Arabidopsis thaliana: one gene and its partners. The protein of the gene in region 1 interacts with the protein of each later gene in a pairwise test. Each region holds a gene or a part of one and is shown in the gene's direction. Other genes may lie near its edges.

The links. The genes of interacting proteins can lie anywhere in the genome.
Region 2: the proteins of AT3G06530 (region 1) and AT4G27090 interact in a two-hybrid assay, tested with the Arabidopsis thaliana proteins (one large-scale study listed by BioGRID).
Region 3: the proteins of AT3G06530 (region 1) and AT2G20450 interact in a two-hybrid assay, tested with the Arabidopsis thaliana proteins (one large-scale study listed by BioGRID).

What each region holds. Positions count from the first base shown.
Region 1 is NC_003074.8:2,020,532-2,025,466, forward strand, and holds the start of AT3G06530 (ARM repeat superfamily protein), read left to right. Parts: upstream 1-1,928; 5' UTR 1,929-2,064; coding exon 2,065-2,224; intron 2,225-2,312; coding exon 2,313-2,526; intron 2,527-2,608; coding exon 2,609-2,704; intron 2,705-2,795; coding exon 2,796-2,913; intron 2,914-3,003; coding exon 3,004-3,177; intron 3,178-3,270; coding exon 3,271-3,441; intron 3,442-3,612; coding exon 3,613-3,668; intron 3,669-3,759; coding exon 3,760-3,849; intron 3,850-3,937; coding exon 3,938-4,086; intron 4,087-4,189; coding exon 4,190-4,278; intron 4,279-4,358; coding exon 4,359-4,487; intron 4,488-4,572; coding exon 4,573-4,641; intron 4,642-4,740; coding exon 4,741-4,909; intron 4,910-4,935. Other genes in the region: AT3G06520 (agenet domain-containing protein), read left to right, coding at 1-190, 462-1,424. UniProt on the Arabidopsis thaliana protein: Involved in nucleolar processing of pre-18S ribosomal RNA. Involved in ribosome biosynthesis.
Region 2 is NC_003075.7:13,593,161-13,596,982, reverse strand, and holds AT4G27090 (Ribosomal protein L14), read left to right. Parts: upstream 1-1,730; 5' UTR 1,731-1,795; coding exon 1,796-1,798; intron 1,799-2,023; coding exon 2,024-2,125; intron 2,126-2,417; coding exon 2,418-2,547; intron 2,548-2,615; coding exon 2,616-2,728; intron 2,729-2,822; coding exon 2,823-2,879; 3' UTR 2,880-3,139; downstream 3,140-3,822. Other genes in the region: AT4G27100 (Ypt/Rab-GAP domain of gyp1p superfamily protein), read right to left, coding at 1-8, 134-237, 345-440, 1,049-1,138; PDIL5-4 (PDI-like 5-4), read right to left, coding at 3,648-3,725, 3,811-3,822.
Region 3 is NC_003071.7:8,812,096-8,816,062, forward strand, and holds AT2G20450 (Ribosomal protein L14), read left to right. Parts: upstream 1-1,736; 5' UTR 1,737-1,827; coding exon 1,828-1,830; intron 1,831-1,983; coding exon 1,984-2,085; intron 2,086-2,307; coding exon 2,308-2,437; intron 2,438-2,537; coding exon 2,538-2,650; intron 2,651-2,919; coding exon 2,920-2,976; 3' UTR 2,977-3,284; downstream 3,285-3,967. Other genes in the region: AT2G20440 (Ypt/Rab-GAP domain of gyp1p superfamily protein), read right to left, coding at 1-80, 161-283, 371-570, 651-754, 833-928, 1,046-1,156.

The sequences.
Region 1 (4,935 bases):
TGAGGTCGATGTCTTCAGAGATAGCGAAGGTTGCTGGGTTAGAGGCAATGTTACGACCGTACTTGAAGATTCAAGGTACATTGTGGAGTTTAAAGGGGAAAATCGTCCAGAAATAGAGGTTGATCAGTTCAATTTGAGGCTTCATCGTGAATGGCTAGATGGTGGGTGGGTTCCTTCTCTTCTCCAACAGGTAAAACATTTCTCTGCGTTTGAATTGAATCTAGGGTTTGTAGAAAAATAGTGAATTTAATGTTTTAGGGATTAAGATACATTGAAAGATTTGACGAATTAATTGTAAATTTAGTAAAACCAAAAAAAAAAAAAAAAAAAAAAAAAAAAAAAAATTGTAAATTTAGAAAAAAGACTTAATTATACTATATATACTGTATGTCAAGCAATTTGAATTTGAAGATTTGTTGGAATTTGGCATAATAAACTCACACTGCTTTTTTGATTTACAGAGCAATTTCTCGGAATCGACAGCCCAAAGAATTAAACTGAAGATAAAAATCAAGAGAAGAGATCAATATGAGAAGGGAGCTCTTGTCGAAGTCAGAAGTGAAGAAAAAGCTTACAAGGGTTCTTGGTATTGTGCTCGTATACTTTGTTTATTAGGTGATGATAAGTACATTGTTGAACACTTGAAATTTAGTAGAGATGATGGTGAGTCGATCCCTCTGAGAGATGTGGTAGAAGCCAAGGACATAAGACCAGTTCCTCCTTCAGAACTCTCGCCTGTTGTGTGCTATGAACCAGGGGTTATAGTTGATGCTTGGTTCAACAAACGGTGGTGGACCAGTAGGGTTTCCAAAGTCCTAGGAGGAGGTTCTAATAAGTATTCAGTTTTTATCATCTCAACTGGTGAAGAAACGACAATCTTAAATTTCAACTTAAGGCCCCACAAAGATTGGATCAATGGACAATGGGTCATTCCTTCCAAGGTATTGACTGATGTGCCGGAAGAATGTTACAAACCTCCATTGAAGAAGCTGAAATCTTGTGAGAGAGCAGAGAAGGTGTTTAACAATGGAATGGAGGTGGAAGTTAGAAGCGACGAACCAGGTTACGAAGCCTCATGGTTCTCTGCAAAGATCGTAAGTTACTTGGGCGAAAACAGATACACAGTGGAGTATCAAACACTAAAAACAGACGATGAAAGAGAGTTGTTGAAGGAAGAAGCAAGAGGTTCAGATATAAGACCTCCTCCTCCTCCACTGATTCCAAAGGGGTATCGATATGAATTGTATGAACTTGTGGATGCTTGGTACAATGAAGGATGGTGGTCTGGTCGAGTATATAAGATAAACAACAACAAAACGAGATATGGTGTCTACTTCCAAACGACTGATGAGAGTTTGGAGTTTGCTTACAATGACCTTAGGCCTTGCCAAGTGTGGAGAAACGGAAAATGGAGTCGTGTATAAGGATGAGAAGAAGTTGGCTAACGGTTACAACTATTAATGAAGAGGATAAGGAAAATGACTTGTTTATAGTACATTTTTTGTTTATGAACATATGTTTGAAGTTGATGATGTCGTTAATTGTCTGCGTATAATATAATATTTAACTTCTAATGAAAGAGGTCAGGTGTTAAGTTTCTTTTTTGTTCTCTGTTCTCACTTCCATTTTACTGAAATTCTTGGATAGATGGGTTTGTTAATCTTGGCAAATGTGATGTGAACAGTGATTGTATCTTGACTTTCTTACACTTGTTTCAAGACTTTCTCGATTGAGGAATTAAAACGCACAGTTTTGTAATAGTAGCGGCAGATTAGAGATGGGCTTTATTATCAAGTTGTAAAACTATTGGGGTTTAAATTCGAAAAACAAAAAAATAGGTCATGGTTTAAAACGCAATTCCATTATAACTCAGGGGTTTCCTTGTTTCTTTATATTACTATATCTTCCAGATTAAAAATAAAAGGATCGTTAAACCCTAAACCCGCTTCTTCTTCTTCTTTCTCTTCTTCTCCCTCAACGCCGCTCTCTATCTCTCTATCTCTCTCTACCTCAAACTTATTCTTCGAATTTCCTCTGAAGAATAATCTTATCCCAATAGCGAGTATGAGTTCTTCAATAGTGTCACAGTTACAGGCTCTCAAGTCAGTGTTACAAGCCGATACAGAGCCTTCCAAGAGACCTTTCACACGCCCTTCGATTCTCTTCAGTCCTAAAGAAGCAGCTGATTTCGATATCGAATCAATTTACGAGCTCGGGCTCAAAGGTATGTTCTCTTCTCCTATTATGCAATTCTAATGAACAAGCTCAATGATAAATTAAATTCTCATCGTTAATTATTTTTGTTAATTCAGGTCTAGAAGTACTTGGAAACAAAGATGAGAGGTTTAAAAATTACATGAACGACTTGTTTAGTCATAAAAGTAAAGAAATTGATAGGGAATTGCTGGGTAAAGAAGAAAATGCTCGGATTGATTCATCAATCAGTTCGTATCTACGTTTACTCTCTGGTTATCTTCAATTTCGTGCTTCCTTGGAGACCCTTGAGTATCTCATACGACGATACAAGTATGTGTTTCCTTATCACTATTGGTTATGTATATTTGCCTTTGTTCGTTCATCGAATTGTCCTAATTGCTCTATATTTCAGGATTCATATATACAACTTGGAAGATGTGGTTCTATGCGCCTTGCCATACCATGACACACATGCCTTTGTCCGCATTGTTCAACTGCTTTCTACTGGGTGAGTATATATCTTTCACTTTCGATTTCGAAGTGAAGTCTCACAATTTATCATATCGATTAGTAAACCCTGGTTCTCATTTGCTTTACAGAAATTCCAAGTGGAAATTTCTGGATGGTGTTAAAAATTCAGGTGCTCCACCTCCTAGATCGGTTATCGTTCAGCAATGTATACGTGATAAACAAGTTTTGGAGGCCTTGTGTGACTATGTAAGTAGCTGTTAATATTTTTTTTCCCTATAAACTGGTTTTTGAATGGCTACATCAAACTGAACATCTGAAATCTTGGTTACATTGTAGGCATCTCGTACTAAGAAGTATCAGCCTTCAAAACCTGTGGTTAGCTTCTCCACCGCAGTTGTTGTTGGGGTGCTCGGTTCAGTTCCAACTGTTGATGGAGATATTGTAAAGACGATTTTGCCATTTGTGGACTCTGGTCTTCAATCTGGTGTGAAAGGATGTTTAGATCAACAGGTTTTTTAGTGGTTTTCTTACCAAATATTTTTCTCTAATTGATTTTGTTATTCAGTTGATGTGCCTTTTATGACAAACTTTATATGGTTCTAGGCTGGAGCGTTAATGGTTGTTGGCATGTTGGCAAACAGAGCTGTGCTAAATACTAATCTTATCAAGCGCTTGATGAGGTCCATCATCGACATTGGTCGTGAACATGCCAAGGAATCTTCTGACCCGCATTCGCTTCGATTGTCACTTATGGCCTTGATCAATTTTGTTCAGGTGCAATAACTTTCTGTCATCATGAACTTCTTACATTTTAATTTTCGATATCACGAATGTATAAACTTCTAAGTATGAGGTGGACATATTTTCTATTCCTCACTGAGGATTCTGCTCACAAGTGGTTGGTGTTGATTGTTTTAAACAATTAATTTTCTGAATCAACTACAGCTGCAATCTGTGGACTTGATCCCAAGGAAAGCATTGGATCTTTTTAACGAAATAAGGTATCTGAATATGAACAGTCTTCCTTCTGAAGCTTTTTTTAATTGTAACTATTACTAGTATTTTTTCAACGATGGCTTCAATTTTGTGCAGAGATATTTCTGGTGTTCTTTTAGGCTTGTCCAAAGAGTTCAACATCAAAAGATTCCTGGCAGTGCTACTGGATTCTTTACTTTTTTACAGGTGTATATCAAACACTGTTTTGTCATTTTCAAGCGGATGGATTTATTTTGTTAGTATTCATGTGTGATTTACTGTCATCTTGTTGCAGTTCGTCTGATGATAAATGCTGCGAAGTTTTAGCTTCAATAATTGAGACTGTTCCCGTAAGCAATTTGGTTGATCATTTGATCTCCAAGGTTTTCTCTTTATGTATGACACAATACCAGAAGAACAGTGATTTTAGATCTTCTACATCTGGTTAGTGATATGTCAACTACTTATGTCATTGAGTTTTGGGTGTTCATTTTTGAAGATTCTTTTTCAGATTCCTCTTTATATAACCAATATTGTTGCAATTTAGTTGTAGGAAGCTGGGCCAAGAAATTTCTGGTTGTTGTAAGCAAGAAGTATCCTGCTGAACTACGTGCCGCAGTTCCTAAATTTTTAGAGGTCTGTGCTCCAACTCTCATTTAGTTATTTTCCTTTGTGTTTGTTATATGGTCTTCTGAGTCATCGACTTCTTGTTGCAGGCTACTGAAGTTCAGTCGAAGAAAGAGGATTTAAAGCTAGAGATGTTGTCTTGTATGCTGGATGGGAATTCAGACATGTCTCACCCGTTTGTGGATTCAAAATTGTGGTTCCGGCTCCACCATCCCAGGGTACTATAACCTCTAATCTTAGTTATGTGAATAAAATTTTTTATTTACTTTTTGCGCAAGACTGAGGGCTTCTTATAAATAATAGGCTGCTGTACGTTGTGCCGCGCTTTCTAGTCTAAATGGTGTTCTCAAGGATGATAGCTCTAAAGCAGAGGTATGTGTGGGGTACTCATTCCAAGTATTTTTTGTTTCTTTACTTTGACTTCATGTCATCTTACTGTTCTTCAATATCTTTTTTACCCTCTCCATCCAGAACCTTGTCACAATTCAGGATGCTATACTGCGTCAGCTTTGGGATGATGATCTGGCTGTTGTTCAGGCTGCCCTCTCTTTCGATAAGTTGCCCAATATAATAACCTCTTCTGGTCTTCTGGATGCTTTGCTTCATGTGGTGAAACGATGTGTTGGCATTCTCGTATCAGGTGAATAAAGATGCTCTGTTCTTTTC
Region 2 (3,822 bases), on another chromosome or scaffold:
ACTGCAATCTGAAAGAAGAGAATTAGCGGTAGGATTCACAAAACTGAATCGATGGTTTATGAATGAACTGAAAGAAACATGTAATTATGCCAAATGCGATACATATATATAGGATATGAGGACAAAATTCTACCTTCTGCGTTGTCGAATTTGCTCTCTTTCTTCGAATGTGCTCATTGGGTCATAACAACCAAGTAGGAATTCCCATACTTCGCCTCTAATTGATGGATGGATTCCCTATAGATTGATTGTAAAGGAATATTAAAGTAACATAAGTTATCAAAGATACAGAACAAATGAAAGGATAAATCAGTCTTTACAAAGACTTATCCAAACAAACATACCCCTCTTCGGATGCGTCTTAGAGTCTTGCCAATATGGAGAGACCCTTCTTGTACAAATACAGCCTGCCATTTTCTTACACTTAGAGTTTTACCAGGCTGCACAAACATCATAAATATGACCCGTGTTGTCAGCAACATAGCAAAAACTTCCTGGCCTCAACATGATGCAATTATTCATGATACATTATGACCACAAGACATGGAATGATATAGGCTTTTATGGCCTGTAATGTAAAGGTTCAAAATTATTCAATCTAGTTCCAAATTAGTACCAGTCAAGCACATAACCTATCTTCCTATCTTATGTATCTTCCTAAAGACCCTGGAGTCAAGAAGTTAAAATCCTTTCAAGCTTATGTCTGGAAAAAGTGACAATCTCACTAAAACAATCATTCATGTGATGCTACTGAGAAAAAGATCCAGTGGGATCAAGAATATATATGAGACCCTGAACAGCTCCTAAGATCAATATCTCCTCATAAGGAATCAGATTTATGAACATTACAATGTCAGGAACAAATTCACAACAGAGACAATGCATTTTCGAAAACATAGATAACCAGAGAATCTGGATGTAATTGGAACCGAATCAGCAATCACATATCGTATTCGTAATCATAAAACAGAGACGACCCAACGAAGAAGCAAAACTAGAATAAGCAAAAATCGGAGAAAATGAAGAAGAAGGGATCGAAAGAAGTAACCTTGATTTTGAATCTGGTCTTGGGGACATCGGTGCACTCAGGACGAACTTGGTAGTAAGAATCTGCTGGCTCACCTGCGCCTCCCCACATCTCTATCAAACTTTCCCGGGAAAAAAAAGAAATCAAATCCAAATGCTGAGCAAAACAGAAAGAGATACACTTTGGATCGGGGTCCCCTCAAAACTCAGAAGATCGATCAATGAGCAATGATCAATGAAGAAATTAAAGGAAATTTAGGGAGAAAAAGATTGAGAATTTAAGGGGACCCAGCTTGGAGCTTAGTGGATTGGAGTCTAAAGACAGAAACTTTTTTTTTTAGGTTTCTTTCTGCGTATATTATTTTCCTGTCGTCTATCTATCAACTAAGTTTCTTGTATCATTCCTTTTTTCTGGAGATGATGATTGATGAGCTGGTCTCATTACACAATAGTTGTTGCCTCCACAAATAACGGAGTTTCTCCATCACTTCTCTCTAATTTATCTTCTTCCACATGAAAGAGACACTGTGTCTTTTTTTTTTTTTCCCCCAAAAATATCCAACATAAAACGACGCCGTTTTCTCTCTTTACCATATTGGGCGTTTAATGTTGGGCCTTTGTGATATTTATTTAGTAAAGATAGGCCCAAACCACAAAACCCTAGAATGAAGATTATATATAGTGCAAAACCTAATCGATTTTTTCCTCTGCTGTCGCTCGTCTACATTTACACTCGGAGCTTAGACCTTCCAATCTACCGGCGGCGAAAATGGTGAGATATACTCTCTTATTGAGCTAATACCTTGGTTAGTTCGTCTGTGTTCTACGTGATTATCTCCTGTATTTAGCTCATGTTCATAGCACATTTCGGATTTCTTTCTTCTAGATCTTTTTTTTTGGGGATTAGGCTTTTGACGTTCTCAATCAAGTTACGTTTGTGTATAGGTTAGAGTCCAAAGTTGTTAGATTTAATATTTTCTGGTGATTGGTTGTTTAGGGTTTCAAGAGGTACGTTGAGATCGGGAGAGTAGCACTTGTGAACTACGGAGAAGATCATGGAAAGCTCGTCGTTATCGTCGACGTTGTTGACCAGAACAGAGTAAGTTTATTTCATTCTTAGGTTATGAAGATTTCCATCTCTTTATCATGTATGTATTGATGAGTTTCAGCTGTTTTAATGCTTGATTCCGTAATGCTACTGTGTATGTTTCGGTAAATTGTTTGATTAAGGAAAATTTTGATTTAGCTTGAGACTTTGGTTGCATAATTGGCTTACAGTTATAACTCAGTTTGCATCATTGATTGGAGCCTATTGCATTTCCTTGGTGAATATTGAGCTGAATATTGTCTAGTTGTTTTTATGGAGTTCTTATTATGTTCTCGTCATTTAGGCTTTGGTGGATGCCCCTGATATGGAGAGGATCCAGATGAACTTCAAGAGGTTGTCTCTTACCGATATTGTCATTGACATCAACCGTGTGCCAAAGAAGAAGGCTTTGATCGAGGCAATGGAAAAGGCTGGTGAGTGCTGCGTAATGTAAATATTTGAATTTTGAAGTGTTTCAATCTTAACTGGAAAAGTCTTGCAGATGTGAAGAACAAGTGGGAGAAAAGCTCATGGGGTAGGAAGCTTATCGTGCAGAAACGTAGGGCTAACCTTAACGACTTTGATAGGTTCAAGATCATGTTGGCCAAGATCAAGGTCAGTGTGTTAAATTGTTAGATGTTTGAAATTCTGTGGTAGTGTTCATTCATGTCAGAACTGAAATGTTAATGGGTTTTTTTGCTGTTTGCAGAAAGCTGGTGTTGTCAGGCAAGAGCTTGCAAAACTCAAGAAGGAGATCACTGCCTGATCAAATATTATCTACAATTCTGTTGTCTTTCTTTTTTGATTTTGGATTCGGAAATTAGTGTTTTTGGAACTATCAATATCAGTATGTGCTCAATTATCAGACATTATTCAAGTTTGAAACCTTGTTTGCAAAACTCAAAGTTTTTTGTTCTTTTGATCTTAGTCTTATTTTCGTTTATATGGTTCTATGTTATGATTCTATACCAAGGCTAAAGTTGAATCATGCTAAGCTAACTAAACTAATAATTAGCTTGAAGAGAACACAAAATTGAAAATTGTAACAAGAAGGAGATTCTTTACTGTGGATACTTACTTCTACCTAAGTAAAATTCTAGTAGAGGATGCAACTCTGTCCAAAGGGAACGAGAGGACTCTCCGTTCTGCTGTGACTTCCGTCGATGATTGCTATAAGCAGCCATGGGGGAAAGTTGATTGCTATATTTGTGCTCAAATCTAGTTTCAAACGTTGAAAGTTGAAACCTTGTTGGCTAAAAATTACATTTCTCCATCATCAGTATGAACCAACTCACAAGAAGCTGTATTTTGGTATTGGAGAATTTGGAAGTAAATTCCCCTGATTTAAGTGATAACAATTTGTTCTACTAAAACTCCCAAAGACTTCAGAGACATCGATAATACTTATATATGTTCAAAAGGATAACAGTTTGTGAATATATATAACCGAATTATTTAAGTGACGTCTGGTATAACTAGGGCAAAAATTTCTGACTCGTTACAGAGGAAAACGAAATAAAACCCTTAGGGAGCTTCAGAAGTTTTTACCAAGTTCTATCTTTTTCATGAGTGTCATGGAGTGATGGAGAATAGAATCCAAGATTCCGGCCACCTGAAAAGAGGCAAAAATACGAGTCATATGGGAATACATTAATGAATAGTTACAAGAAGAAGAGGCTTCAAACTTCTTTACTAACCGTGAAGACACC
Region 3 (3,967 bases), on another chromosome or scaffold:
CATTGCCCGCTCAAAGCACCAGAAAGCGTCGCCTTCATCATCAAAGAGGATTATCATTGGGGAACATATATCATTCATTCCTACATGAATAGACAAAGTGGATCAGTTCTGTTTCTTATATAGTTTCAAAAGATTAATCGTTAACAGCAAGTACACTTACCCTGAACATAACCAATATCAAGATTCAACCACGTATATATGGCAAGAACGTCCCATAGTTTTGATTGATTACGATCATTCTCATAAAAACAGAGATACCGATCTGTTCTAGCAACATCAAGGCCTGAAACAAAATATACAAGAATATGTAAAAAGAGGTTATAAGAAGATAATCAGATAGAACTAAACTTATTTATATGTAAAGGCATACCGATCTGGTGTAGTGAGAGCATCCATTGTAGCACTCTCTCATCTGTAACAGTGTTTTTCACGATCCATCCTTGGTTTTCTACAGAAGATTCGTCTATTGGGTTCCCATTTTCTTGAACGACTGCCATTGTGACGTACTTGCCACTACCAATGACAGGAACCATTTTCTTACATTCTTCTTTCCATGCACCGTACTGCTCCCTTAGATGATCAATAACATTTAAAGTTAGCCATGACGTGCATCTACAAAACTAGTAAATGATCAACCAATTCTATAGTACCTTCTGCGATTCCTCAGTATGTTCCTTTCCTCAAAAGTGCTGTCTGGATCGTAGCATCCTAACAAAAACTCCCAAACAGCGCCTTTGATGGAAGGATGAATTCCCTAGCAAAGAAACCAAGTGAACAACAACAAAAAGAGCATATAGATAGAAACAAGATCAGGAAAAGAAAGTAGACTCACTCCGCGCTGTATACGTCTAAGCACTTTTTCCATATCCAAATGGCCATCTTCAGTAAAGGCAGCGTGCCATCTTCTAGCACTTAGAGTCTTTCCAGCCTGACAAATTACATATCAAGATGAATCATTTCATCAGCTACAAACAAACAAACAAGAACCTAATGTATCATCAATTCATCAAGACATGAAACAGGTGATTGAGAAGAAGAATGGTACCCTTGATTTAAAACGGGTCCTGGGAACATCTGGTTGACATTCAGGTCTAACTGGATAGAAACCTTGCAAATCTTCTCCTCCGGATTTCCACATAAATCCGCAGCAAAACATTCAACCTTCCTTCTTCTTGTTCAAACCAAACTTATAGTTTCATCCATCTCCCACATAAATCATTCATGGATTCATCAGACCACTGTTCAAGAAATAAAACCCAGGATCAGAATGGAGAAAAAATGAAAACTTTACAAATATGTAAACGAAAACACAAGGAAGATATATTCTTTTTGCAACGACGAAGCTCCCATTGCTCAATAATATATATAACCTTAAAATCAGTATCAGAACACCATCATCATTATCATTTGGATAATCCAGAAACCGATTAGACCCAACAATTTGAAATTGTCTACAGAGAGAATACGAACAAAAGAAAAATACATACAGATTGAGATCCTAAACAGCCGGAATCTTCAGAGACATGCCCGTCTTCTTCTTCCATCTTTCATCTTTCATCTTTCTATTTCTAGCAGAGTACTTTCCTTTTTAACCGAACCAAGCCGATTTTATTAGCTCCGATTTCAAACATTAAACCGATCGGTTTCGGTATTCTTAAACGACGTCATGTAATCTCTCCACATTTAATGGGCCTTTAAAATTGTTAGTGGGCTTCTATATGCTTATGTGCCTAATTCTTTTATATCAAAAACCCTAATAATCTCTTGGGCACATAAAAATCTCTTCGCCGCACAATTGCTCCAATCTGTTTCTTCTAGCCGGCCAAAATGGTGAGCGATGTTCTTCGCTTGATTCCATGTATTTTAGTGTTTCTGAAAACTTTAAAGATTCTGCTATTGCCCTAGCTGCTTCTCTTTGGAATTTGTTATCTTTACAGATTTATATAGTTTTTAACCTCGAGAACTTTGTGTTTGATTGTGAAGGGTTTTAAGAGATTCGTGGAGATTGGGAGAGTGGCGCTCGTTAACTACGGCGAGGATTATGGAAAGCTCGTGGTTATCGTCGATGTAGTCGACCAAAACAGGGTAACTTGATATGCAAGCTCTGTTTTTTTTTTCGATTTGGTATTGTAATCAATGTAACTATCTTCTTATTGCTCACTGAAATATATATTGATACAATAGTTATGATGCTAGGAGTAGAATTTGTATGCTTAGTTTAATACTTGTGGTTTTGGCTGAAGCTAGGAGTCTTTGAAATGGTTTATGTTTTGTCTAAAGTGTTTCTGTTTATCTTGTCCTTTTTAGGCACTTGTGGATGCCCCTGACATGGAGAGAATCCAGATGAATTTGAAGAGGTTGTCTCTTACTGACATCGTCATTGATATCAACAGAGTTCCCAAGAAGAAGGTTTTGATTGAGGCAATGGAGAAGGCTGGTGAGTTTGTTGTAGCATACTTTTGATTATTCGTAGGTTTTATTGGCCTTTTTTTGTTGTTGGTTGGGTTGGGTCATCTTAGCTCTAAAGTTATATGCAGATGTGAAGAACAAGTGGGAGAAGAGTTCATGGGGTAGGAAACTTATTGTGCAGAAGAGAAGAGCTGCCCTCAATGATTTTGACAGGTTCAAGATCATGTTGGCCAAAATCAAGGTTGGTTTACTTCTTTGTATCCACCAATGTTGTTTTAGTCAACTCTACTTTGTGCAAATGCAGATGAGTTTTCACTGCTTCATTTGCCCTCACTTTCGGTTGTGGTTTAGAAATAATACTATCTAAACTTTAAACTGTATCTACTACTACTACATTCACCATCTTCTTGGGTTTATGATCTTTGGTTTGATACTGGTTTGTTTTGGATTGTATTAAGACGCATCTTAGTGTTATTGAATAACCTCTAATATATGAATATTGTTTTGCAGAGGGCTGGTATTGTGAGGCAGGAGCTTGCTAAGCTAAAAAGGGAGATCGCTGCTTGATTTCTTAATTATGATCCATTACCAAATCTTATTTTTGCAACTGTTTTTTTAGTGCAAATTATGACAAGTTGAGTTTTTTTTAGTGCAAATTATGATATCAATTTTGCTGATTCCGGGCTACTAAATAGTGAATTTTTTTTGCTATCGGATATTATTATTTTAGTTTAGTTTTTCTTTCTAAAGTCTTGGTCTGATTGGTCTGGTCATCTTTTTAAACCACCTATGAACTTCGATCTTTAGTAGATGCAGTTTTTTCTTCTTCGTTTAGTTCGCATATCTTCAAAAATCTTACAACCAAGTAGAATCTTAGCTGCTGAATATTTGGACATTTGCTTACTTTAGAGGCCAAATTGTTACGTGATGTTGCTGTTGCTATGAGGAGAACGAAATTCTCTGAATTGAAGAAAAACGATACATATTTATAGATATTGTTGTGTTGTTGTGTCGCCGGTTAACAGACGCATGTTTTGTCGAAGCAAGGTCAGAACCCCAATTCAGATGAGCCAACTTCTTCTTTTATGGGATTTGGGCCAGAGTTTAGGTTTGTTGTTACTGGGACTGACGAGCTTAGGAAAATCCCTAATAGATATGGGCCTTATTCTGATCTCCTTGTTTTTGGACTAGTGTTTATTTCCCAAGGTGTATTGGGCCTGATGAGACCAACAAAATTCTTAATGGAGATGGCCCAGCTTCTGCTTTCCTGGTTTGTGGGCCAGTTTTAGTGACCCTGCCAATTATAACATGAAACAGATGTTATAATGGAAATTTGCATTTATAACATACAAAAATATTACAATTAGGTAACTAACCAAAATAAATAGTCCAATGATATTGTGTGTATTTCCTATATTTTAGACATAAGTGACCTTAAGATAAAACCAATCAACTCGCCGGTACCGATTACAACGTCGTCACCACCACAAAGTCACCACCACCATCACCACCACCATCACCGCCATCATCATCACCGCCATCGTAATCACCTTTCACG